Struthio camelus: one gene and its partners. The protein of the gene in region 1 interacts with the protein of each later gene in a biochemical or structural test. Links are inferred from orthologs where the notes say so. Each region holds a gene or a part of one and is shown in the gene's direction. Other genes may lie near its edges.

Region 1 (10,819 bases):
GTACTAAAAGATAAATGTTTAATGATTGTGGGATGATGGAAATCATTGTTGAGACTAGTTTTTATCTTAACGGATAATACTTCTGCTTTTATCAGAGAAATAAGTAATGTTTGCTTTTACAGTTTAGAAGATGAGAAGCATTTATATTGTCCTCCTAACTCGATTACCTTATAGTAATGTAATTACATGACAGTTTTACTTTTGACATAAAGAAAAACTAACCCAGGACAGAAAAACCTCTTGCTTTGAGCTGTAGACAAGTATATAACACTTCCTGTATGAACATTTATTAATCATCTTGGATAATTTGTCAAATTTCCTAGGTGTCGTTTGTTGTTAGTGTTGCGTTTTATTTCATGTGCTCAACTGTTCACCCAATTTATTTTTTGTGACCTGCAGGTGGTCCAATTCAGAAGGTAAAGACGATCCAATTGAAGCATCTAAAGATAGTATATTTGTGAAAATATTACAAAAACTCTTGAAAGAAGGTAAAATGTAAATAAAAGTAAACTTCTTGAACTTGTTTCGTTTTAAAGCTGCTTAAAACGAACAGCTAATACCTAAGGAGGAGGATAAATAATTTCTCAGAACAATAAAAACTTCCGCATGCAATGCAGTATGTAATTACAATCACAGATACAGAATCACTTCTCTTATGAAGTGATAAGGAGATGCAAGACTAGCAGATTCCTTGGTTATAATCTCAGTAGATCCTCAAATTACTTGCTCAGTAGGGCAGCAGTCAGCTTTTCAGCAGTTTGTTATCACACAATAAAATGTCTTCTGGAACCAAATGCTTATATTCTGTAAAATAAGAGATTAAGATTTAATGGTCTGTCACTTAAAAGAGCTTACTCTAATTTAGCTTGAATGTTCTTCCCTGCCCCTCCCCCCCCCTTTTCCCTCACCCCAAGAAAAAGCAAAAATGAAACAAAACCCCCGTTAAGGTAAAATGGACCAAGGAAGGTTACGGCCGTAGAAGTTACAGACTCTGGAAAAAAAAAATCTAAGTAGCTTAGAAGACTCAAAGAAATTCAGTGTTAATATTACTATACACTCTTTTTTTTTTTTTCCAGAACTGGAAAAGTTCCACATCATAAATGTTTTTCAAAACAGTTCTAGTTTTGTGTTTTCAATCCTATCAGTTTCTTTCCTTCTGTAAGATTCCCACAGCCCAACTTGAAATGTTGCAACCCACATTAGGAGTATTTGTAGGAGTATTTGTTTCATGACTTTTTTTTCTTTTTCTTGTCTTTTTTTTTTTCCCCCAAAGTGCTACGTGGCTTGGATTTAAGTTTTAAATTTCTTAGGTTTAAGGATTGTTTAGGTTTATTCATAGAATTCACCGTGTTTTTTAAATCATTATGAGAAGCTCTGTTTGGGTAGGAAGTATTTGAATCTTGAATTTTGACTCCTAGTTTTGCAGAATAACCAGTTTTGTATTTCTTGACATGCGCAATAGAATTAACTCTTCTCAGTTCCAGAGAGTAGTTTCACTGAGACAGGCACAGGTGTTTGCATTAGCACTTAAGTATTTTTATCAGTTCTATAATGAAAAGTTTTGTTTTGTAGGCGTTCAGTTAAGTGAATACTTGCCAGAAGTGAAAGACTTGCTGCAAGCGGACGAACTTGGCAACTTGAAATCTAATCCTTACTTCGAATTTGTGTTAAAGGCAAACTACGAACTCTACGTTCAGGGACAAGCATGATGAATCTCACTATTTCTTTTTTAATATTTTTTTTCTAAAGGATTGTTAAATTCGTGTATACTTTTTTTACATTCTGTTCTTATTTTGTTAAAACTTTGTAATAAACTTTATATATAGTAATGTGCTTGGTCTTTACAATTTATAAATGTTACACTCCAGTCGTGGGGTGGTGGTGGTGGTTTGTTTTCAGGTGAAAGAAAAAGGGTTGGTTTTTTTTTTTTTTGTTTTTTTTTTCCATTTTCTGTACCTTTGTAAACTTCCTACTTTATATCTTCATTCAGCATTTGGGAGGGCTAAAGATGCACAGATACAAAGGGTGAAACCTGGGACCCACTGAAGAAGGTGGAATCTTTTGCACTCATTTCACTGGTCTTCACAGAAGAACATACTTGAAAACATTAATGCTGCATGACTGTTGAGCTTATTTAGAAAATAAATTATTATTCTGTAACATAACTCTGCTCTCAAGGTTTTTTGTATACTTTGGACTGATAGAACACCTTTAGTTTGAAGTATCTTCTGCCATAGGAACTAGGTAAATTCAACTTTGCATTAAAGAATACTGGCACGAAAAGGATAATCGTCTTGTCCTAAGTCACTCAGCTTGCCAGTGACAGTTAGGAAGAAAGCCCCGTTCTCATTCAAAGTCCCTGTGGTCCAGCCACTACACCATTCTTCCAGGTTATATACGTGAACTTAAATTTACTTACATTTTCAATGCATTTCAACTCTTTTTTCCATTTGTAATGTTCATATAAATTATATTCAGATTTTTAGAGTAAAGCTAAAACAATGGGAGTTAAGAGCTTACCGCGCAGTCATTCACCATAACTGCTTGAACCTAGGCTCTCAGGAAACCTAGAAAGCAGCTATCAAAGTGGGAGTCCAGCATGATCTTCCTTACTCGGTGACTCATTCTTTACTAGTTGATGCTACTGCTTCCCCGGTCCCAGTAAGTTATCTCTAACATGGTGGTAAAAAAATACCATATAACTTTTCGGTTTTAAATTGCTGGTAGCAATTTAAATCTAAAATTCAGTTAAAGTGACTTTAATATGACAAGCTGCACCTTTCTTTTGCAAGTAGCTCGACAGCCAGAGCGTGAATACAGAGCAACTTGCATGCCCTTATGTTTTACTTGTCTGGCTGCGTGCCTGCTGCAACAACTTGATCCAACAGCTGAGAAGGTCAGAAGTTAAATTGGTTGAAGAGAATCCAGTTTCTAGTTTTAAAAGCACAGCTCCCCTTCCGTTTCTTCCCCTCCTCCCTGTACTAATACAGTAAGCTGGGCAGAGAGTCTGAACATGTTTGGAAGAATAGATTTATCTAGAGAGGTTCTAACTAATAAGGGAAAGAAATGCATTAGCAGTCCTCTTCTAAGGTTGTTCTAAGACGCAAACTTTGCTGTTCTGCCGTCTTGCATGGTTCACAGAAGCGTGGCCGTCACTCCTAGCTGTGGCTTCAAACAAATGAATCCTTTAAAGCCCTAGAATTCCACATGCTTTTTAAAATATGCTTTTAAAAGTTGTTGCAGCTGATTGACAAACTTAACATTTCTGGAGAAATAAATAATCTAACAAATGATTGGCACCCCTTGATATATGTTCCGCGGCTGAACTTTTACTGGACGCTCAAATTTTACTTGAAGAGAAAGCTCTTGATTGACCGCAGTAAAACACTTCAGGGATATCTTGTCCTTCTCCAACTCACCTTCCTAGACTGCTGACCACCTGTATTCTGTGAGGATCGGCAAGAGTAAGCCGAAGAAAACTGGGGAAGTACATGTTTCTGATAATCCTCAGCTACAGATCTGCTTCAGGGTGTCTGGCTTATTTGGCAGATGTTTGCTCCCTGCAGCGTGAAAGATTTCTCCAGGTTCTCAGGAAACTCAGCCATATAGTTTTCACTACTACTGTTTTATTCTGCTGCTGGGTTAGGAGCTACTTGGCATTTGTACAATGTCTTTCATCTGACTATTGCCAAAACAGAAGGCTACAGGCAATGAGTTTACTTAAATAAAACCTCATTAAAATAACTTCCATGCCTAAACTGAAGTTAAATGTTATTGTACTAGAAATATTGAATTGGTTCACTACTCTGTTACGAAGCTTGAAAAGGTTGAGATTTTGGACTATTCCTCTTCCCCACGCGTTATTTCATTACGTAACAACCTGTTCTTTTACAGAACTGTCTTCTCAAATTACTGTATGGGGAAGATGCCTTCATTTACGTATCAAAGACTACACAATAGTTCTAAATTGTTTTCCGAGTGTAACAAACAGTAAATAAATTACTGCTGGTTTGGGAGAAAAAACACCCACACACCCAGTTTTCAGTTAAAAGAGTTTAAGGAGCATAGATGGCTCCTTTGGAATAAGGAGTTGTATGTTTCTTAAATATTTATTTTCTCATTAATTCAAAATATACACAGTACAAAATGTCCACAGGTCTATACTCAATTGTCACTAGAGCAGCAGGAAAGTTTATAAATTGTGATTTGTGACAAGTTTCAGAAAAGATTTTCCTTGTGCCCCGCTCTCTCTTGGAAACTAATTTCAATTGCTTTGTGACTTATGACCAAAATCAAATTGTTTTAGTGAGCATAATTAAATATCAGAGCTCCCTGCAGAAAGTGATCTCTTAGGCAGAACTGTAAGAAACTAGCATTGCCATCAGGCATTTTGCTGTAAACTGTATTTGGGAAGAGGGAGAATTCAGAGAAACTGAAGGGATAGAGTAGATCCATGCTTGTGTCAGGTTTCATTGAAAGGAGCATTAAGAATGTTTTTCAGTGATGTTAATGTTTCAGGCAGGAATTCTGTTATAAACGTCACTGGATTTCAAATTCAACATCTGACCAACACAACTCGCTGTATTTTAGACTCGATGGCTGAGCGTTACAGTTCTGTGCATAGATTTGATGGCTGTGATTCCTTTAAGTGCTTTCAGGCTTTCAATTTCTGTGCTGTCAGTTGTAGATGACAGACTTGAAGAATAAAATAAGAAGTTGAAGAACAGCATGAGAAAATAGCATATTTTATCTCCAGTGTGCTGTAATGCAGTAACAAGACAGCAAACGGCAATCTATAGCAGAACAAAACAGGGTGCAGCCAGCGGTGAAGGGGCGTGCTGCCAAACGAGGGGATGCAGAAATTATCAGAAGAGGAGCCGTCTCCTTCTCTGTTGACCCTTCTGCTGTGCCTTGCAGTGAGGGAAACGCAGTTACTGAAATGCCATTGCTTTCAGGAGACTCCTTGCAGCAAGAATGTTTCTGGTTTAGTATTTCTTCTTCCTCCTCTCCGGACTTCCTTTCACCAAATTTCAAAAGGGTTTGCCCTTGGCCAGTTGTACCTTCAGAGAAAGTCTTGAAGGTTGATGTGCAGCAGCTTGCTGGGGAAGTTGCAAACCTACTTGCGTTACCTCCTCGCCTTGCTGCTTCTTTCCGTTGGTAGTCAGAATTTCTGTATGAAATCTTCCAGGTCTCCCCACATGGCATCTCTGCTTAAGTATCCATAGCTGAAGGAAACGGATTGTCCCTCTTTACTGAGGAACAGTGCCTGCATCTGGTCAGAGATGACTTGTCTGTGAGACCACACTGCCTTTTAGGAGGGTGAGCTGCTGTGTGATACCTACACAGGATGCCTCTGCTGCCGGCCAGGCTGAGCTCAGCAGTCCAGTCACGGGCACCCGGTAAGGGCACCAGCATCCACTTCTGCGTCAGGCTTTTGGGATCAGCACAGTCCCGGGCATGAATGCTTCCCCAGGTTTCTCTTGAAGCGTTTGACTAACTGTCGTTATCCTGCACGCTTATTTTCCGTGTTTACATCACATCCAAGAAAAAAACACGTAACTTAGCGTGTAAAGCTGTGGCTTTCACATGGGCTAAACATAAAGCCCGACCCCATCCGCACCTGGAAGGCACGCGGAGGGGCGGGTGTTGCACGGAAACCACGAAGCCGCCTTTCCACTTCAGCTTCGCCTACGCCTTCGCGCCGCTTCCCCTCCCGGGAGGTAGCCTGCACCGGCACTTCTAGGAAAAAAAGGCGAAGCTTTGTAAGGATTTTACCGCTTCTTAAAGCCCGTGAGCACCTTGTGACGAGGCTGAGGCCCGCAGGCTTCACCTAGAGCAGCCGCCGAGCCGGGGCCGGGGCGCGTCCCCTCGGGCGGCCGCCGGGCGCCCCTGCCCCACCGCGCCGCCGCCGCCGCCTCCCACCTGCTTTGCCCTTAACGGGCCAGGCGGGTGCCGGGGGATATTTCGGACAGGCTGGCGGCCGGCCCCTTGCCCTGGCCGGGGAGGAGGCGGGGAGCGGGGGGGGGGCCCACGGCAGACGCTCCTTATACGGCCGGGCCTCTCTCACCTGGGCCGCGGCCAGGAGCGCCTTGTTTGGGCAGCGCCGGGGCCGGGGGCCGCGGCCGGGCCCGACGCCCAAATATGGAGACGGTCGGGGCCGCATTCCTGGGGGCGGCCGCCGCCCGCCCGCCCGCCCCCATAAAAGCCGGCGGGGCCGGCCGCGACCCCCCAGCCAGCCGGCCAGCAGCCGCAGCCCTCCCTGCCCAGCGGCCCCGAGCCCGCAGCCCGCCCTAGGTAAGCAGCGCCGCCGCCGTCGGAGGCCGCCCTCGACGCCCCCCGGGCTGGCGGACGGGCCGCGCCGTCGGGGGTGGGTAGCGGGGGCAGGGGCAGGGGCAGGGGCAGAGGCAGAGGCAGAGGCAGGCATCCCCGCCGCCGCGGCTGAGCCCCTCTGCCCTCCCGCAGAAAGCCGACACCATGTGCGACGAGGACGAGACCACCGCGCTCGTGTGCGACAACGGCTCCGGCCTGGTGAAGGCTGGCTTCGCCGGGGACGATGCCCCCAGAGCCGTGTTCCCCTCCATCGTGGGCCGCCCCCGCCATCAGGTACCGTCTTGCTGCTCCCTCCCCCCCCACCCCCCCAAGCCCATCCTCCCGCGGACCTGCGCCCGGTGCCCTGGGCGCTGCCCCGTCCCGCGCTCGGCCCCACGTGGCTCCGCACACGCGGAGCGGGAGCTCGCTGCCCGCCTGGGAGTCCCGCGGAGAGGTTGCTGAGCACCCCCTTTTCTTGCCCCGCAGGGCGTCATGGTGGGTATGGGTCAGAAGGACTCCTACGTAGGGGATGAAGCTCAGAGCAAGAGAGGTATCCTGACCCTGAAGTACCCCATTGAACACGGCATCATCACAAACTGGGACGACATGGAGAAGATCTGGCACCACACCTTCTACAACGAGCTGCGCGTGGCCCCTGAGGAGCACCCCACCCTCCTCACTGAGGCCCCCCTTAACCCCAAAGCTAACCGTGAAAAGATGACCCAGATCATGTTTGAGACCTTCAATGTGCCCGCCATGTATGTGGCCATCCAGGCTGTGCTGTCCCTGTACGCCTCTGGCCGTACCACTGGTGAGTGCAAGTGTCCCACAGGACACCCTTCTCCTGGGGACACCCAGGACTGGTCCCCTACAGCTCTGCTCCCTAGTGCAAGGCCATTTGTGAGCTCCGTCTCAGGTGCTGCTCTTTGCTTTCCAAGGTATCGTGCTGGACTCTGGCGATGGTGTGACACACAACGTGCCCATCTATGAAGGGTATGCCCTGCCTCATGCCATCATGCGCTTGGATCTGGCCGGCCGGGACCTCACTGACTACCTGATGAAGATCCTGACTGAGCGTGGCTACTCCTTCGTCACCACAGGTAAGCACTGTTCCCTCCCCGGCATGTCCCCCCTCACTTCCACAGACACCCCCTGCACCCCCAGGGGTGCTGCCACCTCTCACTCCTTGGCAAGCTCTGGGAGTGCTCCCAGCTGGGAACACACATATGGTCAGGGAGGGGGCTGGAGTCCCTGCAGACCCGTGGGGGGGGACTCGGGCATGCCCTGTTCCCCCCTTGCAATCACTGACGCCTTTGCTCCCCCCTAACAGCTGAACGCGAGATCGTCCGCGACATCAAGGAGAAGCTGTGCTATGTGGCGCTGGACTTTGAGAACGAGATGGCCACTGCTGCCTCCTCCTCCTCCCTGGAAAAAAGCTACGAGCTGCCTGATGGGCAGGTCATCACCATCGGCAATGAACGTTTCCGCTGCCCAGAGACCCTCTTCCAGCCCTCCTTCATTGGTGTGTGCCCCCTCCCCTCTTTCCTCTCTTACCAGCTCTTCCCTCCCTCCTGAGTCTTGCCGCAGAGCTCTCACTTGGTGCCTAACTTGTGCCTGCCTTTCCCCCCTCCCCTGCTGCCAGGTATGGAGTCTGCAGGGATCCATGAGACCACCTACAACAGCATCATGAAGTGTGACATTGACATCAGGAAGGACCTGTACGCCAACAACGTCATGTCTGGGGGTACCACCATGTACCCAGGTATTGCTGACCGCATGCAGAAGGAGATCACAGCCCTGGCCCCCAGCACAATGAAGATCAAGGTAAGACTGGAACATGAGAGACCCGGGCACACACCTCCGGGGATGTCCCTCTTCCCCTCCTGCAGACAGCAGGTGGAGCTGTGCACAGCCCTAAGAAAAGGCAGCGCCTGTCACCGCAGCGGGTGCTTGTTCGCTGATCTCCTCTCTTTCTTGGCTTCTTCTAGATCATCGCCCCACCTGAGCGTAAGTACTCTGTCTGGATTGGTGGCTCCATCCTGGCCTCCCTGTCTACCTTCCAGCAGATGTGGATCACAAAGCAGGAATACGATGAAGCTGGCCCATCCATTGTCCACCGTAAATGCTTCTAAACATGTTTACATGATCACTTTGCCAACCATGCTCAGGATGACGACCTTGTACGTTGCAGGCTGCTGAGGACCTGCAACAGCCATGTAACTTTCTATTTTGTAACGATTTCTGGTTACCGTTGCTGCAAAGCTCCACGTGACACGGTGTATGTAAAGTGTACATAAATTAATTTATTTTACCTCCTTTTGTTTGTTTTTAAAACCAATGCCCTGTGGAAGGAAACAAAAAACTTCAAGAAGCATTAAATCATCAGTCATTCTGTCACGCCCCCGATGCAGTTGTTTCTGTCATCATTTGCTTGGTTTCTTCCGTCAGTTTTGCGTCACTCACTGACGTCGCCTGTTGCATCCCCACGTGGTTTAACGGGGAGGGTGGGAAGCCGGGGCGAGAGCAGCGACCAGGGCACTGGGTGGAGGGAGCTGAAGGAGGACAGGGGAGGGGGGCAGGACCCACCCTGGTCTGGAGACAGCCCTGCCTGGCTCGCTTGGGTTGGAGAAGGTCCGGTCCTGCTGTGAGCAGCCCTGGGGTGGCCGTGTGTTGCACCACGCTCCTGCAGGGTGGCCATCGTTCCCCCCCTCAACACACACCCGATGTGTTCCCCCTGGGTGCCGCGGGGAAAGGGTTACCTGGAGCCTGACTCAGCTGTGGCTGGCAAAGGATTTTATGTGGCTCAGCCTGCCAAAAAAGTAGCCCTGGCCTGTCTGTGCAGCTCCAAGCCCTGATGGACAGAGGCAGGGCTGGGGCTGGGGGCAGGTGGCGGGTACGGGTTAAATAAAGAGCTTTCCACTCCGCTTATGGGAAACCCGCCTGCGCTCGCTCTGTCCCCGGGGAGCCCGCGGGGCCGAGGGCACCCGGGGCCACTTCCTCACCCTGCCTGACACGCTCGCCCTTGCCAGCCGCCGCACCGGGATCCCCGCTCCTCTGCCCTCCCAGACCAGCCTGGCCCGGGGCCGGACGCCTCACGCAGGGGCTCCCGCATGGAGAAATACCTGCGAGGGCTCCCCCTTGCCGCGGGTGTTTGCCTACCCTTTCTGGGGTGGGAGGTTGGGAAGCTGCCCCCCGCCCCTCCCCTCTCCCTTGCCTTCCGCTTTGCTCCCAGGAGCCGCCCCGAAGCCCCGCCAGGCGCCAGGTGCCAGGCTTGGCACAGCCCCCCGGGACGGGCGCAGGCGAGGGGCCGGCAGCCCTGGGAGGAGGACTCCTGCTGGGGCGGTGGGCCCAGGCAGGAAAGCGGTGCTTGCGTTTTGTGGCGTTTTTCCGGGTTCCTACTGCTGTGGGAGCCGGTAGCGCTGGGAAAATGATGCGTTGCGGCTGAACTTGCAGCCCAGGGAGGGTTTTGCTCTCCTGCGACTACGTTAAGGGCACACTTGCTTAGCATTTTGGCTGGTACATAAATAAACCCTAAAGCCCTATGCTGAAGGAAAAGGCTGCAGAAGGAGCTGGCCTGACCCTTCGCTGGGACCTGGGGCAGGGAGGCCCTGGAGCAGCGCCGGGAGCTGTTATCTCGCTCCGAACAGCAGGGATCAGGAAGGCAGAGGCACGTTTGCTTCTTAAAAAACCACACACAGAAGACAGTTCACGACCTTTTCCTTTCTGTATTTATAAGTTCTTGTGCAGTGGCACGTATTTAAACAGACAGCTCTTTGCTGGGATTTGGCGAGATGCTTAATGGATGTAAAGGCCTCAGTACTCGACCCCCGATCTAGGGTTCAACCGTGGCTTAAGTGGTGTTATGAGATGGATTTTGGGTCCAGCTCCTGTTATTAGATTAAAAGGCTGTTTTTGGAAGAGCAGATAAAAGTTAAGTTAGAAAAGCAGCCTCTGGATAAGACGGTGCTCGCTGTGGGGTAACCACACACAGACTCAGCTTTTCTACGATTAAAGTTAGGGTCCTAAACCCACAGTAAATAGGTTGTTTTTTTTTCGGAAGTGGTGCTGAGCCATGCACCCCTCCCTCCACCCTGATCAAACCCAGTGGGAACGGAGGATGCTTGCTGCCTCTGAATAAATACCCGGATTTCGCAGATGCCTGGTGTCGGTTTAGGACAGAGTAGCTGTGGGCAGAGGGCATCCCGCCGGCAGCCGGCGGGGCGCGTGTGCCCTGCGCTGCACTGCACAGAAAGGCTAATATTGCTGCTGGCACCTTGCTATCCCCTGCCTCCAATGGCAGCCCTTCTTCTCATAGTGCTCCCCATCATTCAGAGCAGGCTCCCATTTCTTCCTGTTGACGTTAAGAGCCGAAAAGCGCAGTTTTACAGCTGAAAAAAATAACTAGTTTGTTGTTTTGGTTGCTGAATCAATGCACTGAGATATAACTCATTTTTGATTTTACCTGAAATACACGTCCTTGAAATCTAATCTATTTCAGGTTTTAATTTCA
Region 2 (10,345 bases), on another chromosome or scaffold:
TAAATTCGTCAGAGTTTTTATGGGTCTACCAAAGATTAGAGAAAAAAAGAAATGGCTGTTTAAGTGGCATACTTTCCATGTGCCACTGATTTGCAAGTTAAGACTCAAATAATGTTTAATTAAGTAAAACTTAAGGTCAAAAAAGTAGATTCTCTTCGCAGTGTAGAAATAGCTAAACCTAAAGCAAACAAATTGCTTGCTTTGTGATATGTCTGACCTCTTCTTTGGCATCATTTCGGGCAGCAGTTTGGAGCGTATAGCTCTTAAACTGGGTGTGTTATTGCCACAAGTACAACCTGTTGATTTAATTAGGGCTGATCACGATAGCAGGACGATCTAACTTTGCTCTTTGCAAACCACAGCAACTTACGGTTTTCCTGTTGTTGCAGCAAAAATACAGTGGCAATTTACTTATCCTCCTGGTGCTTGATAGAGGAGGTCTTGAATACTATCAGACAATGGAGTCTCTTTTTTTCTGAGGAGATATATTATTCCTTTGGAGCAGTCCATATTCTGCAGACAATTTTTGGCAAATAGTGACTATGTAATACCAGTGATAGAGTGAGGGGGAAAGCTTGTCCCAGGCATTGGAGCTGACGTCCGAACACTCCCGGTGCTGCAGGTAAGGGAATGAGGAGGCAGTGAAGCCAGGCCCTCCCCATGGCAGCTGTGGCACGTCAGGTCCACGGAGCTCCTGGAGGCGGGAGACCCTGGAATATGCAGTTGTGTTCTGTACCCAGGGCAGGACACTGCAAATCTAGGGCTGTAAATCTAAGCCTGCTCTGAAACAGACAGAAGGAGAGAATTAGCTGGATGGAAATGCAACCATTTGCCTCCAGGGTGCAATAAGGATTGGTGCACAAGAGGGATTTTTGCAGCATGAAGGCTGTTTGGATAGAGTCTATACTAAGATTTACTGCTCACTCCATATTTTAGAAACTCAGTTATTTGATGCTCTGCAAGTATAATCCATTAAAATAAAAAGTACAGCCTTTGCCGTTTAGAAATGCAGGAATGGTTCCAGAAGTAAGCAGCAGGTGTTTTAGATGCTCCATGGTGTATTATTATGTTGGCTGCAGACCTTCCTGCGTGGGCCTTTTTATGTAGGAAGTTAAGACAAATTAACTGAGCTTATCATGAACTAAAGACACTTGAGTTGTAAATGGGAACAACCATATGGTGATTTGTCCTACAGCCGTTTATTTCACAGTCTCATTTAATTCAGTCAAGCTTTCCTGAGAAGCCCTGTGTGGATAAGCCCTTACTGTATCTGTGCGTATATACATGTGTGCATTGCCACAGTTTAACTGCAGCTCCAAAGAAAAATGTTATCCTCAAAGAAAATGTATATTTATTTTTCTCTCATAAGTGGTCGGTTACTGAATAAAAGCTACAAGAAGAGTAAAATATTGTATAGGGGTTTTTTGAATGTAAAGGAGCTGAGTTCTCTCTCCACTGTCAGACAAACAAAAATAAGCCTCCCCAACACACTCTTTGTTTTAAATCAGAAAGCTGTTAGTGAAATTGTCAGAATTCTGGGTTTCTGTTTCCTGTAGACGTTCACTTAAAATATCTTTTTCCTCCTCAACACATAATCCCTTTTTCAATTGAATTTATTTAAATGAACTACTGCAATTGTTTTGTCTTTCATCCACTTTTACCAATTATTTTTCACCTCTTCTTTTCCAATTGCACATCTTCAGTAAGTATCCAGAAAAAAAGCATCCAGAAACTTAATTTAATGGGTTAAAATATATATATTCTCTTTATAGTCTTAGAGGCAGCAGAGTACAAAGTGTTGTGAGGAAAGCCCTATATGTTAATCTTTGCTATATCATACAGATAAATTGGCTGATAAATATTTAGATCCATTCCAGTGTATTTAATCTGGCTTTAATATATTTTTAATTAAAAAAACTTCAAAAATTGCTGTTTTGTACGTTCTGTGATCGGAAATGCTCTGGCAGTATCAGAAATCTGAGGATGTGTTGGTAAAATGTGTGCATTCCTTCAGCTTTGGTAAGCTGCTCTGAATGTTTGAGGTTGAGTAGGAATTGGTCTGGAGCCTAACAGAAGAAAGATTTTTCTCTTCTCTTCTGTCTGTACTGGATGATACTGCCTCCTTAAAAAAATACTTTAGATGGCATTATTAGACGCTTTAAATGGCGGTAGGCGCAAAGGTGCGGCAGCGTGTTTGATGTGGAGAACTAGACATTAGTTGTTCCCTTTAATTGTCTTTGCAGTGCGATGGGGACAGAAAGAATAAATGATTCTGGGCTCTCTGTCTACAGATATGTCTGGAAATGGAACAGGGCAGGTTTGTTCTTTATAGTTCAGGTGGAGCCACATCTGATCAGGTCCAGAACCAGGCACCTTCTTAACAGAAACAAATTGAGAAAAATGTAAAGACAAATGGTGAAAATGCTGATAGTTTATGAGGGGAAAGTACAAGTCTTGGGTAGAGTGACTCCGTGACAGGAGAACAGGAGGCACAGCCATATAGGTAAATGTAAAGAACACAAATGGAAATATTTAAGGAAGGAGGGAGGCAGAGAGAAGTGTTTATTACAGAGGGCAAGGTAGAAATAGGAAAGATGTTTTGGATTGGATACTGGGAGAGAAAACTACCAAGTCTCAGACAGGAGGCAGTAGAAGCATCTGCTGGGGCTTCTACCAGGGCTTTTAAAAACACCATAACAGAGAAGATATACAGCAAGGTAGCAACATCACATTGGCTGAGGAGAGAGACCAGGGAGCTGAGGAGAGAGACCAGGGAGCAGAGGGTCTCCCTGACTCTTCTGGCCTTTTCTCTGAAGTGAACAGCTTCCAGCCTCAGGAAGATAATCTAATACTTTATTGAAAAACCAATCTAGAAATTATGCCATTGCTCTGAGACAACCAGAGTCCCTTGCACATTGTCAGCTTCCCTTGCATATCATGTCTGACATGTTCTGTGTTCTAAGTAGGGAATGTATACCTGTAATTATTTCTACAGGCTAGTGTCCATTATAAGATGTTCTCAGATTGGCTTGTCATCATTCTGTTAACCACACATCTGGATAACATAAGTTGTTGCCTTCTGCTGTTTGCTCAAAACACTGCACTTTTTTTCTTAAATTATTGTTTTTACTGCTATACAGCCAAGTTTCGTTCAGATGATCCATCTGCACTGAAATCCTGTTTTCCAAGCCCTTTTCTTTTTTTTCCTTAAATAACTTTTCTTTGCATAAGATGTTGGCTCTGCATAGCACCATTTCTGTGACTAAGCTGGACAGTTCTACTAACATCAGCTTGAAATTTGCCTTTTTCCCATGATTGCCGACAGCACATCCTTTTCGGTATGGTGCTTGTAATCGCATCTGGCGTATGCCACCAATAAAACATCCAGAGCACAGATTTCTGTGGCTTGATTTAACAATACAACATTTGTTGACAACAGTAATAGACCATACCAGCTGTGGGAGTATATTACACTTATTCCCTCCTGACATGCTTTAGCTGAATCTTTACCAAAGAACGCTATAATATACAATTTATTCATTGTAGTCCTCTTTGCTTCTTTTGCCTGTGTTTGCCTTCTGCAACTAACTGACATTGCAAGCTTGGATTGAAGGCAAAACTTACCAAATGCCAAGTTAATTAGAAGGCCAAATCCAATTTTTTTTTTTTTCCAAAATACCATACATGCTTATGAGCATATACCTGTGTGAAGTTACCCTAAAATGGGATGCTAACAAGGAAAATTATCCTAGGTCTTCACACCTACTCTGCAAATTTTGCTAAGTTCGGCACTGTACACATATTTATTAATAAGAAGTCAAAAGTATTTTTCCATTTGGAAGGGACCCATCTCTTTCTAATGTTATGCAATCCAGTGATCTTATTTTGGGTATGCTACAGCTGCAGAAGCCGTTCACAGCTGATTTCTGAGGACTGCTAGAACTGATTCAGTGCACAGTTAGGGTTCCAAAATTTTTTACTGCTTTTCAGACCTCTGGCACTCTGAACTTCCTTCACAGAGATCAGAAATACTTTGAAGACAAATACATTGTTTTTATTATTTATTTTCAGTTTGAGAAATTGCAGTGAAATTTGTCAGAGGTACATTAAGGAGAACAGAGTTTGCCAGGATGAACTGTCAAAACACAATGCATGAGGTTGGACAACAGAGAAAGAAACAGTATGTCCTAGTGAGAGACAAAGAAAGAGAGAAAATATCGTCATGGAGAGAGGAGAAAGCACAGAAAAGGGGATCTGATCTTTCCCTTGTGGAAACTTTGTTATGGTCTTAAATAGGTGAAGGATTTGGCCCCTTATTTAACCGTCTTTTGAGAGATTATGAAAGCAGGAAGCTCAGACTGTCAGTAGTTCTTTCCAATGCGCATTAAGAGCAAAAGTGTAACCAGCAATGCAAATACATGTAGGCATTAGTCACATTCCTCCTGGTATTCCTGTCTGACCTTCTAGGATGTACATAGCCACACACCACAGAGCAAGTCTGAGCAACTCTTGGGCAGTGTTTGGCAGACACGGTGTTACGGATCTGCTGCTGGTACCTCTATTCCGCTGTCTAGTAAGAGCGTATGGCTATCTGCTCATGAGATGCCACAGTGGAGCATGGTATACAACTCGTACTGCACAGTTTACTTAAAACACTTGGGAAATGCGATAGATTTACTTGCTGACGTGCATGAAAGTTGGACAGAGCAAGCGCTTTACTGGCTCTGTTGCTGGTGGCAGATCTTCAGCGTGCTACTATCAGGCATACTGTTGTAGTTCCATTGAACTGAAAGGTTTGATGGCTGCTAGAGTCATGTCACAAGGTCTCGATGCAGCCTCAGTAACACTGGGTTGTGAAATTACTGAATTAGCTCTTGTTCTCTCACCTGCCTCATAGTCTTACTAATGCTCCCTTGGTAACACATGAGCTGAAATACCTTGGTCTCTCTCTCACCCCTCCACCCTGATACAAGCTTGTATGGAGATGGCATCCAGGTGCAAGACACACAAAGCACATACTGAATTTTGCTTCTTGCCACTCTTGACAAATTCAGAGAGATGAGGGCATATTCCTTCCATCCTCAGATTGTATTATATAGATTATACTATACTGCTGTATCCTTTCAGTTCTTCTCTGTTCTTTTTCTCATTTCCAAAATCTTTTTCTCTGTGCTCCTTGCCATCTGAACAGCCTTTCTATTCCTCTGCATCTCATCAGCTTTCCATTTATCTGCAGCTTTCAGCTGATAAAATGTTGCCTCTGTTGCTGATGTCCCTTCATTTCTCCCTCTGTTATTGGCCTTCTGACTAGATATTTGGCTTGTCTGAACATAATTGCACTGTTGGCTATAATGGATAGCATACTGTCCTGAATTATTGCCTGTTGGGTTTAAGCCTCTGTTAATGGCAGATTTAGTATCTGAGGCTTCCAAGAGGACCGTGTGCACAAACATGCTACGCCCCTGTATTGCTGAGGGAGTGGGTGTGTTTGTATGTGATAAAAGACTGGATTCTGCAGTGCATCTTCATTAACAGCAAGAGAAGGAAGGACTCCCTACAGCTTCTGCAGAAGAAGGGAGAAGCCCATTTGCTGTTAGAAATGCTATTTAAGTTGCAGTGCAAACAAGACTTCAATTATATATTTTTCACTGTATTTTGCACAATGGCTCTGAAGCTGAACTGTGTTAGCTCCGTGTCTGTTGCAGGGCTTGGCTATATCGTTACAGCAGCTGTTGTGCTTTCAGCTGTGGTAAGTGAATACATTGCAATTAAACATTGAAAAACTTTTGTTTTTCAATTACTTGCAAGAGTTGCACTCTTTTCTAACTCTTTGTAAGGATTTTGTCCAATTTTGTCGGGGGAATTAGGGAGAAATTAAGTCAGGCTGTCAGGAATCAAAACAGTAAGTTCACTGTTTTCCATCTTTGTCTGTTTGATATCGGATTTCAGTTTAGGGATCTGTTTAGTAGCTAACTTGCTATTTTGCTTTCTAGTTTGTAACATTCTTTATTTCTGCCTTGAAAGCTGAGCATATTGTACTTTTGTCCATCAGCTACTATGAACTATCTTCTTTGTCAAAATACTGTATACTTCTAATATAACATTTTAATTTTTTCCTCCCTATTATCTGATATCACTCAAAGGCATGCTATAATATGTGGACAAACTCCCTTTGCCAATACTACTAAAGTGTTTTATTTCCTTTAGGTGTTACCAGACTGAATTCTTTCACAGTATAGTTATATAAAACTGCCCCCAACATTTGTTAAAATGCATATTGTTAATATACGGCATTAGTATGAAAATATATGTGTTAAACCAAAATTGCAATGTCCTTCAGGACAGGATGTTATGTATATTAGCGTAATTCCTAGAAGAGAACAGTTATGTAGAAGTACTGAAGTAATGTGTGCCAGGATTATAAACAGAGAAGTTATGAGAGACATGTTAATCTAACTCTGTGATGATATTCATAACATTTTCCAGAGAGAGACAGATAAGATTATCTATGTTTTAGGAAACATTAAATAAAGATTGTGCAAGGTATACAACATGTATAGTTAAAGGGAGTATGTTTATTTCCTAGATTCTTGGAACTCATGCGACGTTTAGAGAAAAGAAGAGTCAGCAAGGGAATTTGTCTATTATTTATCTGCCCTATTAAAAAGCTATAGATTAGAAAAGAAAGAAAATGTAATATATAGAGTAAAATCAACAGAGGTAGACTTACCGACAAAGAATGGAGAAAGGAGAGTCTAGGGAGCAATAAGTCAGGAAGTAGAGCTGAATGGAAGTTTAACAGTGGTCAGTTGAGAGATTTTTGTAAAATTCAACGCAGGAGAAAATAGGAAAATTTCCACTTGTTGCCTGGAACAATAGTTAAGAGATCAGAGGCAATATAATCTAAACAAGGGCTTCTGTGCACTGTGCCTATTGAACAACATTCTCTGTCTTGCCTCTAGCCTGTCAGCATGGTGGAACACGCCGAGTTTTTGAAGGCTGGGAAGGAACCTGGCCTTCAGATCTGGCGGATTGAGAAATTTGATTTGGTACCAGTGCCAAAAAATCTGTATGGAGACTTCTTCACAGGAGATTCCTACCTTGTGCTGAACACCATCAAGCAGCGGAGTGGGAACCTCCAGTACGACTTGCATTTCTGGTTAGGTAAGGTCTGATGGGAGTGCCCTCACTGAACCAGGAGCCCAGAGTGAACTCTCTTCCTCTCACTAGTCTAGCATTGCCCAGTAAGGGTTACCAGAGGAAATAGCTATAGAGAGAATGCAATTTTATGTGCATATAGTACTACTCACCTTAAATATTTGAAGTGGTTTCTGCAATCGTAAATGCCGCCATCTCTGTACTTAGAAGTTGCATTGTGCCGAAAGAAAGGCTTTTCTGGTCAAGATGACAGAAGACATCCCTATTCTCCAAAACTGTCAGGTCCAGAGAGAAGGTGAGGTCTCAGATGAAGGAGGCTACTGAAATCTTTCTATTGAAAGATCAGTAGTCAGTAATTATCCTCCTGGCTCAGAACGGATTTTTTTTTTTTTTCCTGAAATTTAAACCTGCTGACTGGCCTTCTGCAGTAAGTGAGTTACACGATAAGGCTTTCTCCACATCTTGCAAAACCAAGACTCATGGAACAAGTTATAGTCAAAGCAATGTAGGATACAAATATGGTGTTTTGTCATGTCTGCCATCTGCCAGTAGCCTTTCCCCACTAAAGAACGCCTGGTAGACCTGAGAGGCAAGCTGATGTGGAACTTGGTGCCCCACTGATCTCTATAGCCTTCATAAAGCCTGACAACACCTTGCTGCTACTTCAGCTGCATTTGGAGATTGGTGCATTTGGCCTCTAGCAAATTTTCTTCCAGGACAAGGTGAAAAAGTAAAGGGAGAGTATATGATGCCTATCAAAGACGTAGCTGTAAAGCAGTGGTTCCTCAGTGGGGCTGCAGCAGTTACAATGGTGTAATGAGCCTGCCAGCAAAATATACGGTTTGTACTGCTATTTGGGGTCATTATTTGGAGATGGCTATTCTGCAGACCTTTCTGGAAACTAAGCTTTCCAGTGATCTCCTTTCTCCCTAGTATTTTTGCATGGTTAAACATAAGAGGCAGAAACCTCACATTGTCTCCAAGCTGTTGCCTTTTCATTTCTTAGGAGATGAAAGCTCTCAAGATGAGCGTGGGGCAGCTGCCATATTCACTGTCCAGATGGATGACTACCTTCAGGGGAAGGCTGTCCAGCATCGTGAAGTGCAAGGCCACGAGTCCTCAACTTTCCTGGGGTACTTCAAATCTGGCATCAAGTACAAGGTAGGCAATCACTGGCTCTTTATACTGCCAAACTGAATCAAGTCTGCAAGGATTGACATCTTCAGAAGAAGAAGAGTTGCCGTTTTGATAGCTGCTAAAAAAACCCACTCTTGACCAGATGTTTTCAATGAGTTGGAACTGACAGGGTGGAGAACAGCAGATCCCAATGGGAGAGCTTTGGCTGAATTAGTAATACACAAGCAAAGCCCCAGGAAATTTTAGAAATCAGAGTTTTGTTTTCCTTTGAGAAGCAGAGGAAAGAACAGTCTCAAGATGTCTGGAATTAATTTAAGAAACAGCAATCTGAGTTAATGGGAAACGCCTACTCAGTAATTTAATAATTTCTCCCCACTTACCGAACAGAGTTTGACCTTTCCCATCTCTTTTTGTGTGCTCAGCCCACCTCCCTGGCATTCATAATATTTTGGTAAAGTAGAAGAATAGGTGTGGGAATTACTCTTTCATCCCATTGCAGTAAAAATGGAATAGAAGAAGTAGAAGCTTATGGTCAGGAATAGTTATGTTTGTTAGGAATCCAGCGGCACAAGGAAACTGATACCAAGTCAAATTCTTGCAAAATACTTACATGTAGTCCTGACGTTAGTCCCATTGCCTAAGTGGACAAGGAATTTGCAAGTATCTCTTTATCAGCAGAGAAAGTGAATACTGATAATGAGGTAGTTTCTGGTAGTCAGGCACCTCTCACCCCAGCAGTCAAAACCCTACAAATACCTCAACTTTCATCATCCTCTTCAAATCTGGAGATCTCCAACTGTGTTGTATCAGTGTCCCATAGAATAGATACCACAGAAATTTGCAGGGTGATGGATATATTGATATATGAAAACCCAGACTGGGGCAAACTAACTCCCTCTGTAAGCTACTGCTGGCCTTCTTTCCTGAGAGAGGCAAAAAATGCTCACAGATAGCAAATCAATAGGATTTTCAGTTCTTTCTGGAGTAAAAGCACAAGCATGAATTGATTTTCTTCTTTTTCCCTTAGGCTGGTGGTGTGGCTTCTGGCTTCAGGCACGTGGTTCCCAATGAAGTAGCTGTCCAGAGGCTTCTTCAGGTCAAAGGCAGGCGAACAGTCCGAGCAACTGAGGTCCCTGTGACCTGGGAGAGCTTCAACACTGGGGACTGTTTCATCCTTGACCTTGGCAGTGTAAGTACCATGTAAAAGACAGGTTTAGTGAACTTTCAGGGCTGGGAGAGAGGTCTGACTAAATCAGTATGTGAAGAAAAATTGAAGTGATGTCAAGTGTTGAGCATTCTGAAACATTATTTAGCCAATATTTTAACATCTTTCAGGCCTGGCCATACAGCCATCTCATCCTTTTAGGCTCTGACACTGTGCAGCTGCATGGTCTTTGTCTTTCCCCCCAGGATATCTATCAATGGTGTGGCTCAAACAGCAACCGCCAAGAACGGCTGAAGGCCACTGTGCTGGCCAAGGGAATTCGGGACAACGAGCGGAACGGCCGGGCCAAAGTCTATGTGGTGGAGGATGGATCAGAACGGGAAGAAATGCTTCAGGTTATTCACTTCATCCATTTTTCTGTGCTGGAATGGGAAGGGTGGTATGTGGAACAATGATTGGGATGGGTAGACAGGCTCAGTATGGGGTATCTTTACATATCAAGTGTTAGTAGCATAAAGTTGCTCAATTCGTAATGATGGAGGCTTGGGCCTCTGCATTACTGGGAGATTAGTGTGTGTTATTTTTGCCGTTCTTGATATGAAAGTTTCTTCTACTTGTTCCTTGTGGTTGGAGCATCTGGGGAACAGAGATTCTTGTGGATCAGCTAGCAATGTTGTTTCTCTCTCTCGCAGGTTCTGGGACCAAAGCCCAGTTTGCCAGTGGGAGCTTCTGATGAAACTAAAACTGATACAGCCAATAGAAAGCTGGCTAAACTCTATAAGGTAACGAGAAACAGATGGACCCTGACAAATAACCTTGTGGAGGGTGGTCATCCTTGCACAATTAGATGGAGCTGGAATGGAGGAGAAGAGCTGATCTGATCTG
Region 3 (10,771 bases), on another chromosome or scaffold:
CAGGGGCTGGCTGGGGGACGCCCTCCTCGAAACCCCTGCCCCGACGAGCTGGACTCTGCGTTACCGAGCCCCCCGGCCAGATCCCCCCTACCCACCCGCGCGGCCTTTGGAGGTAGCCGAGCCTGCGCAGAAGTGAACTGAATTCTCCTGACTGGGAAGAGCAAACATTTCACCCCTGATAACTAACAGATGGGAGTCTCTCCATCTTCCCCCTTTCCTTCCCCGGCCCCTACAGGTGCTAAGAAGCGCTCAGGAGGGGAAAATTAGCCCCCTGGGAAAATGATCTGCTCCCAGAGAAGGGTTGCTGCCACGACGCACGGCGTAACTTGGGTCCGGGACCCCCGGCAGAGTCAACGGCGGGTTGTGGCCGAACACCAGCTACTGCTTTTCATTCCCATTATGCCATTTTTTTTTTCTCTCCACTTGCCGGACGGTTTCCTGCACCTCTCTGACTCCACGGCTCCCTGACGCGGTGCTGGGAAGCGCCCTGGAGCACGACTTTGGGTCCCCGCGCTAGCGGTAGGGGAGTGACACGCAGCTCTCGAGCGAGCCAAAGCCAACATCATTTTAAAAAGCCGATGGTCATTTTTGCTCCCAAGCTCTTCCCTTTGAGCTGATTTTATTGAACGAAAGAGCCAGATCCCTCTGACCAGTAAATAGCTGATTTGCTCCCTGGTGGAGCAACTGGTTTATTCGCGTGGCTTCGATGGACGCAACGCGATGCTCTTCGCGATGACCGTCACAAGCGAGGCGCTGGCTCAGCCGCAGGGATTTTGGCTCGGCTCCATCCTCGAGCGTTTCTGGGGCTGCCGGGGCGGCACCGCAGCCCTCGCGGCACAGCGCTGGCCCACGGTTTCCCACGCCTTGTCCCACTTCCGCGCTTGGAGGAAGCAGACGGGGAATTTCTCACATCCCACGGGGGCAGCAGAGGGGTTCACGGCCCAGCCGGCAGCTTCACATCCCCGAGCAAGGGCCACCCGCAGCAAGCCACAAACCGAAGGAGAATACGCTGAGGACGCTTAGTAAAAACATGAGATGGCAAATAACAGAAACACATGGATCAGGTTTTGCAGTGACCCCCCGCCCCGAGGTTCCCACACGCACCAGGGGCCACCAGCCCATCCCCAAAGTCAGTCACTGGGAGATCAAGGCAAAGCTCACAGTATTGAGCAGCAGCATGATGCTCCAACACATCTGGCCCCCTGCCTGCCCCCCTCCCCCCCCCCCCAAAAAAACCCCAAATTTAGAGAGATGACTGAGGAGCAGGAGGGCAGCAGAGCCCTTCTGGCCCAATAGGGGCCAGCCCCAGCTGCAGACCTTTTCTCATCGCTCCCTACTCAGCCGGGAAGCGCCAGCACCTGCAGGGCTGCCCCAACCACAGGTGAGCAGGGGCCGGCCGGCGTCTGCGGCCAAAAGCAGCACCCCCCCCCAAAAAAAAAAAAAGGAGGTAAAAAAGGTGAACAAAAAAAGAAAACCCCAAAGTGCTGGGTTGCACATAAGCGAGCGTTGGGGCATTATTAACGAGCCTGCTACGGTAACGAAGCCTGGGGAGTTATCGTTACCCTTCTGGTTGTCAGCCTGCATCCGGACCAGATACGGACCGTCCCACCCAGCCCGCGCGGTTTCTGTCGTCGATTAACCGGCTTTCCTCTCGCACGGTAGTTAGCCAAGTGACGTTACCTCCCGTAGCGCTGGGTCGGAGGGTGGAAGAACCCGTCTCTCGTTCCACACCTCATTTCACCCAACCCAATTATTAAGCACCCCTGCCAGATCGAAATAAAATTTTAGAAGGGCTTTAGACGCTTTGTGGCAACTGTGGCCGGGGCTGAAGAGTCAACGGCCCTAAGCAAAGCCGAGCCCCGTGCGCGCGCCCGCCCGCCTGCCTCTGAGAGACGCGTCCATTGTGCTTTTTTGACTTATTTCCCTCTGTTAACGTCTGAGCAGCCGCCAAGGCGCTCGAGCGGGACGCCGAGGCCGCAGGACAAAGCGTTGCCGCGGCCGCGTTAGCAGCTCTGCTTTCCGAGGGTCGGCGAGCGGTTTGGAAAGAAGAAAGGGTTCACCGAGGATCCATCCAAAACGCGGGCTGCCCCGGGCAGGTTCCCTTCTAGACCTTATATTACGGCCCGGAGCGACGGGTTTCGTAGCAGCCGGAGCCTCCGGCAGGTAGCACGCCACGCGCCACGGCTGCGCTCTAGGACTTTATTGGCAGGTTTTCACCGCTGCTGTTGATGACGCCCGTTGGGCACCGGCCAGGCTGCTGGTGGAGCTCTTCTTGGTGTCTCGGCTGGTCGAAATCGCCGCTCGTTTGCTTGGGTTGCTCTGAGGCCGGGGGTGGCGGCGGCGGCGGCGACAGTGGTGGTGGTGGCAGCGGTTCCCTCGCCGGGTGGATGGAGAGGACGCACGTGGGACCCGCGTCACGGGAGTTCACCTCTTCTTCCAGTAGTAGTAGGTTGCGCAGACGCGTACGTACCCTGCCGGGGAAACGCGCAGCCGCGAATTAAAGCCTGCGGCGGGGCCGGGGTTGGGGAGGAGAAGGCTTCACCCAACCCGTCCACCCGTCGAAGGAGTTTCAGCTTTCCCCGGCGGCCCCGGTGCTTCCCTCCCCTGCCCCTGCCCCTGCCCCTGCCCCGGCGCCGGGCCGGCTGCCGCCGTCACCTTTCTTCTTGCCCAGCGGTTTGTCGTAGAATTTCCTATTTCGTCTGTTCCTCCTGCTGGGGGGGACCCGGCGGTGGCCGCCGGCAGCCTGCTCGGCGCCCCTGTGACTCGCCATGGCCGCCGCAGCCTAGTCGCCCAGCGGGCCCCGAGGGCCGCACACCATGTCTCGCCCGGCCGCGCCGGCGCCGCGGAGCCGTGTGAGCGCCGGGCGGGTGGCGCAGCCCCCTTTTCACGCCACCGGCATTGTGAAGGCGCGCCGACCACACACAGGGGCCGTTGCCGGGCGGCGGGGCGGGCGGGTGGGCTGGGGGCCAGTCGGCGTCCGAGGGAATGGTTTTGCTCGCGTGGTCGCCCGAGCACCTCTGCCCCCCTCCCCAGCTCCACTTTCCCTGACACCTCCAGTGACCTTGACCTGTCCCTGCACTTAAGCTCATAAAACATGGTTTCACAGAATCACAGAATGGTTGAGGTTGGGAGGGACCTCTGGAGATCATCTAGTCCAACCTCCCTGCTCTAGCAGGGTCCTCTAGAGCATATTGCCCAGGGTCACATCCAGACGGGTTTTGAATGTCTCCAGCAAAGGAGACTCCACTACCTCTCTGGGCAACCTCTTCCAGCGCTCTGTCACCCTCACAGTGAAGAAGTTTTTCCTCATGTTCAGATGGAACTTCCTGTGGTTCAGTTTGTGCCCGTTGCCTCTTGTCCTGTCGCTGGGCACCACGGAGAAGATTGGCCTCATCATCTTGACACACCCCCCTTCACATTTCAAGAGGGGAATCAGCCCAGCTGTTGGTCCAGCCGCTCGGGGCTAAATTGCTGGGTGGGATGGCTCTTTCCCCACGCGCCGCATCTCCACTCGTGAGACAAGCGGGGAGGAGTTGCCTGCTCGGGCCATTTATCCCCTGCCTAGGTTTGTCCTAGGTGGTCGGCCCACCAGCGGGTCCCTTCACGTCTCAAAACAGCCTAAGAGCTTTTTGAGTCCGTTTGCAGAAGACCTTCATCCTCCTCTTGTGTCCCTTGCTCCACGCAGCAGGTCAGGAGGCACATTTGGGGGGGGGTGCTCCCTCGTCACTGGCTGTGCGTGTACGTGCCTGGGCAGCAAGAGCAAACGATGAGCTGCTCTTTCCAATCAGGGGCCATGGTGGGTAAATCCTAAAAACGTAAGAATTGGCATTCCTCAAAAATTGAGATTTTTTTTTTAAGGTTCTGCTTTGAAGAGCTAGAAGAGGACTTCTGCGGGGAGAAAGGGCAAACGGAAAGCTAGCTCTGAGGAGACAGTGCACAGCTCTAAAACACTCCCAAGAGAAAATATGGGCATTTGGGACACATGGACCTAAGAAAGGCGAATGAGAAAACTTACGGGATGGCTCAGCTTGCTTAAGTTTGACTTCTAGGAGTGACTTTCAAGCAAGCATGGCACGGTTGGGAGTTTCTCCTGCTCGGGACGTGAGCCTTGGCCAGTTTTCAGGCTTGGACAGCGTGCCTGGGCCATGCCTGCAAGCTCTGGTGCGACCTCCCGGCAGGGCCAGCTTCAGGACAGGAGCGCTGGTGTCTGGGAAGGAACAATTTAACACGAGGGTGCAGGACCCGCCAAGGCAGTTGCTGGACTTATGGTGCTGCCCTGCACCACTGCAGGTTGCAAGCAGAGCTGCACCCTGGAAAAAAGGCAGGGGCAGGGGGGGAACAAATTCCTTTTCCGCTTTCTCAATGGGGAAAGAGGGCAGAGCGCTTTGCACGAGCTGCCGAGGGTCACTCAGCGAGCGCGTGGCAGAGCCAGGACACAAACCCACGTCACCTGAGTTATCGGCCCCAGGGGTTTCTTTAGCAGCAGGAGGGGAAGAGACGGTCAGGCTTCTTTCTTCCCCATCTTCATCTTCTGGGTATTTTCCTGATGAAAAGCCCTTAATGCGTGGTGCAAGCGCCGGAGGTTGTTGGCTGAAGTTGTTCTTCATTACCCAAAGGGCTGCGCTTTGCTGCTTAAGTCCTTACCATTAACGTAATTGCCCTTTCTGCTTTTATTGCTGTCCCCGTTGATCAGAAAGCGTGTGCGATGGTTAGTTTTAGCTGCCCACAGCCATCCAGTATATCCATGCAGCTGCAGAGGGGACTGCATTAAGAGATGGATTAAAAACAAACCGAGACAGAGAAGTTGCGGCTCTTCAACAGCCTTGCGCTCGCCCAGCAAGCGCGTGTCGTCTTCCTGCTCCCCCCCATCCCTGAAAGGGCAGGAAAGGTACGGGGAGGTCACGTCATTCTGGGGGCAGCCCAAGGGGTCCTACAGAAACAGAAAAGTCAGATGAAACCCCTTGCTTTTCCAGCCAGGGTCCAGCCAAGCGAAACGTGTTGAGAAGCTTTGGTCTTACCAATGCTTCCCCTCAGCCGTCAGCCCAGCGAATCCACCGCGGAGGCTGAGGCAGCGCTGGCCTGGGTGTCACGGGCATCGCGGAGTCGGTGTGGTGGGGCAACATCACAAGAAAAATGTGGGAGCAGCTTCGAGCCTGTCTGAGGGCGGGATGAGAACCCAAAATAGCCGGGGGGTGGTGGTGGTGGCTGGGTGTGGTGGTGGCTGGGTGTGGTGGTGGTGGTGGCTGGGTGTGGTGGTGGCTGGTGGCTGGTGGTGGCTGGTGGTGACGGTGGTGGTGGCTGGGTGTGGTGGTGGTGGTGGCTGGGTGTGGTGGTGGTGGTGGCTGGGTGTGGTGGTGGCTGGCGGCTGGTGGTGGTGGTGGTGGTGGTGGCTGGGTGTGGTAGTGGCTGGTGGTGGTGGTGGCTGGTGACTGGTGGTGGTGGCAGGTGGTGGTGGTGGCTGGCGGTGCTGGTGGTGGTGGTGGTGACTGGTGGTGGTGGTGGCTGGTGGCTGGTGGTGGTGGTGGCTGGGTGCGGTGGTGGTGGTGGCTGGGTGTGGTGGTGGCTGGTGGCTAGTGGTGGTGGTGGTGGTGGCGGTGGCAGCTGGGTTGGGGGGGACGGCGACAACGACGCATCCTGGGCCGAATTAATCATTAGCTGCACTGTGGGCGATTGGGCAAGTGGTTCAAAGGGACGGGAGGGCAGGCGGGAGCACATTGACCTGTTTGCAGAGCGGGGACGCGCTTGCAGGCAGGCAAACAAGCGCCGAGCCAGAGGGTTCGCGGCAGCTGGGAAGGGCGAGGGCTGCAGCAGCCCGCCGGCTGGTTTTCGCATCCCGTTGCAGCGCTGGAGCAGCTGTTGAGCCTCCCCCCCCACTTCGCAGCGATTTTTACGAGCACCTCTCTTAAGTGTGTTTTAACAGATCCCTGCGTTTCTGCAAAAAATACACCGAGCGGGTGGTGATTCTCCAGCGCGCTGCTGCGAAATTGCAGCTTAAATTGCGGAGGGGAGTCAGAAGAGAAAAAATAAAATAAAATAAAAAAATCTGTGTTTACACCAAAATAACCTATCGTCTGGGTTTATACCCCAGGCACCTAGTAATCAAGCAGTCTAATGGCTTGTGAAGTCTTCTGACCGTCAAAGAAAGCCGCATCGCATTTCGGCATGCCGCTACTCTGTAAGAACTGCAGATTTGGGAAAAAAGATAGAAAAAAAAGAAGAAAAAAAAAAAAAAGCTCCGCCGAGGGGTTAGCGTTTTGGCTGCCGTCCCCATCTCAGCGGGGGTCGCCGGCAGCGTGCGTCGGGGTCTCAGCGCGCCCGGGGCGGCGGCGGTGGCGGTCACCCCGACCCGGCACCCCGGCGCCGTTACCTATTTCCTCCTCCCTGCACCTCTTTTTTCCCCGCATTGCACCTTTCCCCCCATTGCACCTCTTTTTTCGCAAGGTTAATCATTAAAAACCGGCCGGGTTTCGGGGGCGCTGGCGCCCTGCGCCGTGTGTTTGCCTTCGCCCCTCGGGCCGCGCTATCTCCGGCAGGCCAAGGATGCTGAGCCTCTGCCCCCCGCCGCCCCCACCCCGGGGGGGCAGCAGCATTAATCATTCACCGGGCGACGCGCGGTAGCTCCATATAAAGGCCGGGGTGGTGGTGGTGGTGGTGGGGGCTCTGCACGGAGCAGCCAGCCAAGGGGCGAACGGCGCCGCCACGAGCCCGGCGGGGACCCGACTGCAACATGACGGGAGCTCTGGGGCGGCTGCTGCTGCCGCTGCTGCTGCTGCTGGCGGCGCTGGGTGACGCCGAGCACCGCGGTAAGCGCCCCGAAAGCAGCCGCAATGGGTGCGACGGCCGGGCGTACCTGGGTTTTTTTATTTTTTTGGGGGGGGGGGTGGTATCATCCTTTTGCAGTAAGGGCTGAGCGGCATGGTGGGAGCGAGAGAGGACGGCGTCGCGGGGCCTCTTTTGCCGGCGTGGCGGGGGGGGGGGGGGGGTTAGACTTTCTGCTCCCCTTTGCAGGCGCCGTTTCCCCGAAAAAAGCCCTCGGGCCGAAACTAGGCAAGGGGCAAAGTCTTGCTGCCCTCAGAGCTCAGCAGGCCATCGTACACCTTCCCCTCCCTCCCCCCCCCAAAAAAACCCGGCCAAAAGCGCAAGCGTTTCTTGGGCGCCGGTTTCTGAAAATGAAAATAAATCAAGCGAGTTTTCACTGGCCAGGGGCTTATCCGCCCAACCTCTTCTCGGCAACATCATCAAACCGTCGTCCCTGCGCGCGCCTTCCCCCGTCTGCAATTCCCCGGCAAGGTCCCGTCGAGGTCGCAGCAGAGACGCCAGCGCCAAAGGCCTAACTCAACGCGGCCTGCAGCAAAACCGATCCCGTTCTCGCGGGCGGATGAGCGGCGGCGTTGCTGCCGCGGCGGTCGATCGTGGCCCCCCCCCTTCACCCCCCACCCTTTCTCTGGGCTTACAGGTAAAGCCTACGTCCGGGACAAAGTATGTCAAGAATACAAGACCATGGGGAAGGACAACTTCCGAGCCCTGTACGTATCTCCTCCGACCTTTGCTTTGGCACATCAGCCGTGACCAAGGGGGCGGGAGGGGTTAAAAAAAAAAAACCCAAAACCATAGAAACAGGAAGATTTCCCCGCTGTCTGGAAAGGAGGCCTCCTCTTGCTTTCAACGGGCCGGCTTGCAGGAGAAGAGTTGGCTTCTCGCTGGGCCTACTCGAACCCCCCTGTTAGGTGCCTAAAGGACCAGGAGTTAGAGCAGAGGTGGCACCTAACGCCCTTAACGTCCTCTGAAAACCGTACCTGCCCTCCGGCGTCGGGGCGGCGGCGGAAGGAAGGAAGGAAGGCAACGTGGACACCCTGGGGCCAGGCCACACGTAAAAACGCGGCTTTCTCCCCCCTTGTGTTTGCTCCCAGCACGATTGTCATGAACAGCAGGAAGTTCTCCAACGCCACCTTCGAGGAGATCAGCCACCTGGTGCGCGAAATAGTCTCGCTGGCCGAAACCTGCTGCGCCGAGGGCGCCGACCCCTCGTGCTACGACGCCGGGGTAGGTCGAGCAGAACGCGGCGGCGGCCGGCGGCCGGCAGGAGACATTTAATTCGGGGAAAGAGCTTCCAGCCTGGGGCAGGCACCTTTCTACACAGAGCTCCTTTCAGCCTTTTCCGCCTGTTTTTTTCAGGCACGTGCCCAAAAATAATGGGATTTACCCTCCCGGTGCATTAAATTTTGGGCTCTTTCTCCCCCCCAACCCCTCTCCCTGGCAGCACAGGGGGCTCGGGCGACCCCTCGCGCCCTCCCTCTGACTCCTCTTGCCTCTGCGCCCCCGCAGTCGTCGGCGCTGTCGGCCAAGTCCTGCGACCCCAACTCGCCTTTCCCGCACCACGCCGGGGCGGGCGCCTGCTGCGTCCACACCGGCCTCGAGCGCAAGCTCTGCCTGGCCGCCCTGCAGCACCCGCCCCGCGAGGTTCCCGGCTACGCGGAGCCGGCCGGCGACGAGCTCTGCGCCGCCTTCGCCAAGGACCCCAAGGACTTCGCTGACAGGTGAGGGCCGCGCCGCCGGCTGCGAAACCCCACCACTACCACCACCACCACAACCCTTCATCTGGTGGTGGCCCGCCGCGGTGGCGAGGTCTCCCAGCCAGCCCACCTGCCCCGCAGGTTCCTCTACGAGTACGCCAGCAACTACGGCCAGGCGCCGCTGCCCGTGCTCCTGGGCTCCGCCAGGAGCTTCCTCTCCATGGTCTCCACGTGCTGCGTCTCCCCGGCGCCCACCGCCTGCTTCTTGAAAGAGGTGAGTTGTCCCTCTCCCCCCACCCCCTGCCCCCAACCCCGGCCGGCTTTCGGAGGCGGACGTGGTTTTGAAGGAGGTTGCTTCAAAACCGGCGGCGGCGGCGGCGGCGGCGGCACCGCGAGCGCCTGACGCCCCAGACGTTTCCTTCTCGTTGCAGAAGCTGCAAAGGAAAACCCTCTCCATGCTCACGCTCATGTCGAACAGGGTCTGCTCCCGCTTCGCGGCCTACGGCAAGGAGAAAATCAAGTTCAGGTAAAAGAGGGCCGACGACGCTTTTCCGCCAGCCCGGCCACCCGCTTCCCTCTCTGCTTTCTCAAGCGAGGAGCTGTGAGAGCCAGCGCACCGGGCTGGCCCGCGGCAAGGCAGCCCGCTTAGCAGAGCGCGTCCCACGCTCCCTCTCCCGCGCCCTTTTTCCTCCTCGAGAAGTAACGCAAAGCTTCAGTTTCCTCCCGCAGTTGGGCAAAAATATGCCAAGGCGAGTCGCATCCCCCCCCCACCCCTGCCAAAGCTGTAGTGAGACAGCGCGCTGGCCGGGTCGGCACCCGTGCAGCAAACCGAGCGGGGCGGTGGGGGCGGGGGGGTCTCGTAGGGAGGAAGTGAGGCTTTAAACCCCCACCAGGTCTTCACGGGGCAGGTCACCAGGTCTTCACGGGGTAGGTCACCAGGTCTTCACGAGGTAGGTCAGGAGAACGAAGAGCCGCGGGACCTACGCGTCCCCCTCTTGCGCTTTGCCTCCCCCCCGCAGCTACCTAACAACGCTCGCCCAGAAGGCGCCAAGCGCTTCGTTTGAGGAAGTCTTCCCTCTGGCGGAGGACGCCGCCGAGGTGTTTGCCCAGTGCTGCGGCTCGACGGCTGAAGACTGCATGCAGAAGAAGGTAGGGAAGTCCTGGGGGTTGGGTGGAGGGGGGGACACCGGTGCTCGAGGTCGAAGATCTGGGGTGGAGGGGGGCAGCGATGGCGAGAGCGCCGCCGGGGGGGGGTTCCTCCAGGCGTGCGCCCTCCTCTGCCTCCCCCGCCGCAGCTGTCGGAGCACGCCGCCAAGGTCTGCGGCGCGCTGGCGGCCAAAGACGAGAGGTTGGCCGGCTGCTGCGAGGGGAAGGACGCCCTGCGCGGCTACTTCTGCCTCTCGGCCCTGAAAGCGGCCCAGTCGCCCCCGCTGCCCGACCTCCGGCAGCCCACCGACGAGCAGCTCTGCGGCGCCGACCGGGCCCGTCATGTCGACAGGTGAGCGGAGGCGGCGGTGGCCTCCAGGGCTTCACCCCCGCCCTCCGCCGGGGGGGTTGTGGCGGGGAGCGTTCGCCCCGTGGCCTCGGCCTCGCCTCCCCCCCGTTGTGTTGCCTTCCCCACCCCGCGCTCCAGGTACGCGTTCGAGCTGGCGCGGCGGCAACCCAGCGTCCCGGACGTCTTCCTCGGCCGGCTGTTTGACGCCTCCGAGGCCGTCATCCGGGAGTGCTGCGGCGCCGAGGACGCCTCGGCCTGCCTCGACGGCAAGGTGGGCGCCTTGCCCCCCCCCCCGACCCACCCCTCCAAAAAAAAACCCTCCGCAGAGGCCTTTCCCCGGGGGGGGGGGGTGTGTGCTGGCGACCCACCCTCCACCCTTGTCCGCCCGCAGCGGCAGCGCATGAGAGGCGAGCTCGCCACCTTCCTGGAGCGGGCGAGCGAGCTGTGCGGCCCCTACGCCCAGCTGGATTTCCTCGACTTCAAGAAGCGGTGAGGCCCCGGAGGCGGCCGGACGCGAGAGCCCCCCCCCCCGCCCCGGCTCTCACCCTCCGCCCTGACTCCCCCAACCCCGGCCCCGACCGACAGGCTAAAAGAAAAGCTGGGGAAGACGGTGCCCGGCGCGAGCCCCGAGCGCCTGGCGGAGCTGGCCGACCGCCGGGCCGACTTCGCCTCCACCTGCTGCTCGGCCAACTCGCCGCCCCTCTACTGCGCCCGCCAGGTAAAGCGAGGGGCCCCGCCGGCCCCGGGCCCTCGGCGGGCCTGC

Evidence for each region.
Region 2: the proteins of ACTA1 (region 1) and GSN are reported together in a solved structure, tested with the Homo sapiens proteins (3 studies listed by BioGRID and IntAct). The link is inferred for Struthio camelus from reciprocal best matches to the Homo sapiens genes ACTA1 and GSN.
Region 3: the proteins of ACTA1 (region 1) and GC are reported together in a solved structure, tested with the Homo sapiens proteins (2 studies listed by BioGRID and IntAct). The link is inferred for Struthio camelus from reciprocal best matches to the Homo sapiens genes ACTA1 and GC.

The regions. Positions count from the first base shown.
Region 1 is NC_090944.1:91,453,921-91,464,739, reverse strand, and holds ACTA1 (actin, alpha skeletal muscle), read left to right. Parts: upstream 1-6,058; 5' UTR 6,059-6,294; intron 6,295-6,462; 5' UTR 6,463-6,474; coding exon 6,475-6,603; intron 6,604-6,795; coding exon 6,796-7,120; intron 7,121-7,247; coding exon 7,248-7,409; intron 7,410-7,639; coding exon 7,640-7,831; intron 7,832-7,951; coding exon 7,952-8,133; intron 8,134-8,297; coding exon 8,298-8,441; 3' UTR 8,442-8,715; downstream 8,716-10,819. Other genes in the region: nuclear pore complex protein Nup133, read left to right, coding at 400-488, 1,573-1,709. UniProt on the Homo sapiens protein: Actins are highly conserved proteins that are involved in various types of cell motility and are ubiquitously expressed in all eukaryotic cells.
Region 2 is NC_090961.1:2,896,309-2,906,653, reverse strand, and holds the start of GSN (gelsolin), read left to right. Parts: upstream 1-5,470; 5' UTR 5,471-5,599; coding exon 5,600-5,749; intron 5,750-6,962; coding exon 6,963-7,164; intron 7,165-8,164; coding exon 8,165-8,319; intron 8,320-9,322; coding exon 9,323-9,484; intron 9,485-9,705; coding exon 9,706-9,855; intron 9,856-10,152; coding exon 10,153-10,242; intron 10,243-10,345. UniProt on the Homo sapiens protein: Calcium-regulated, actin-modulating protein that binds to the plus (or barbed) ends of actin monomers or filaments, preventing monomer exchange (end-blocking or capping).
Region 3 is NC_090945.1:7,195,280-7,206,050, reverse strand, and holds the start of GC (vitamin D-binding protein), read left to right. Parts: upstream 1-6,498; 5' UTR 6,499-6,727; coding exon 6,728-6,803; intron 6,804-7,456; coding exon 7,457-7,526; intron 7,527-7,910; coding exon 7,911-8,043; intron 8,044-8,325; coding exon 8,326-8,537; intron 8,538-8,654; coding exon 8,655-8,787; intron 8,788-8,944; coding exon 8,945-9,039; intron 9,040-9,532; coding exon 9,533-9,662; intron 9,663-9,808; coding exon 9,809-10,011; intron 10,012-10,146; coding exon 10,147-10,279; intron 10,280-10,399; coding exon 10,400-10,497; intron 10,498-10,593; coding exon 10,594-10,726; intron 10,727-10,771. UniProt on the Homo sapiens protein: Involved in vitamin D transport and storage, scavenging of extracellular G-actin, enhancement of the chemotactic activity of C5 alpha for neutrophils in inflammation and macrophage activation.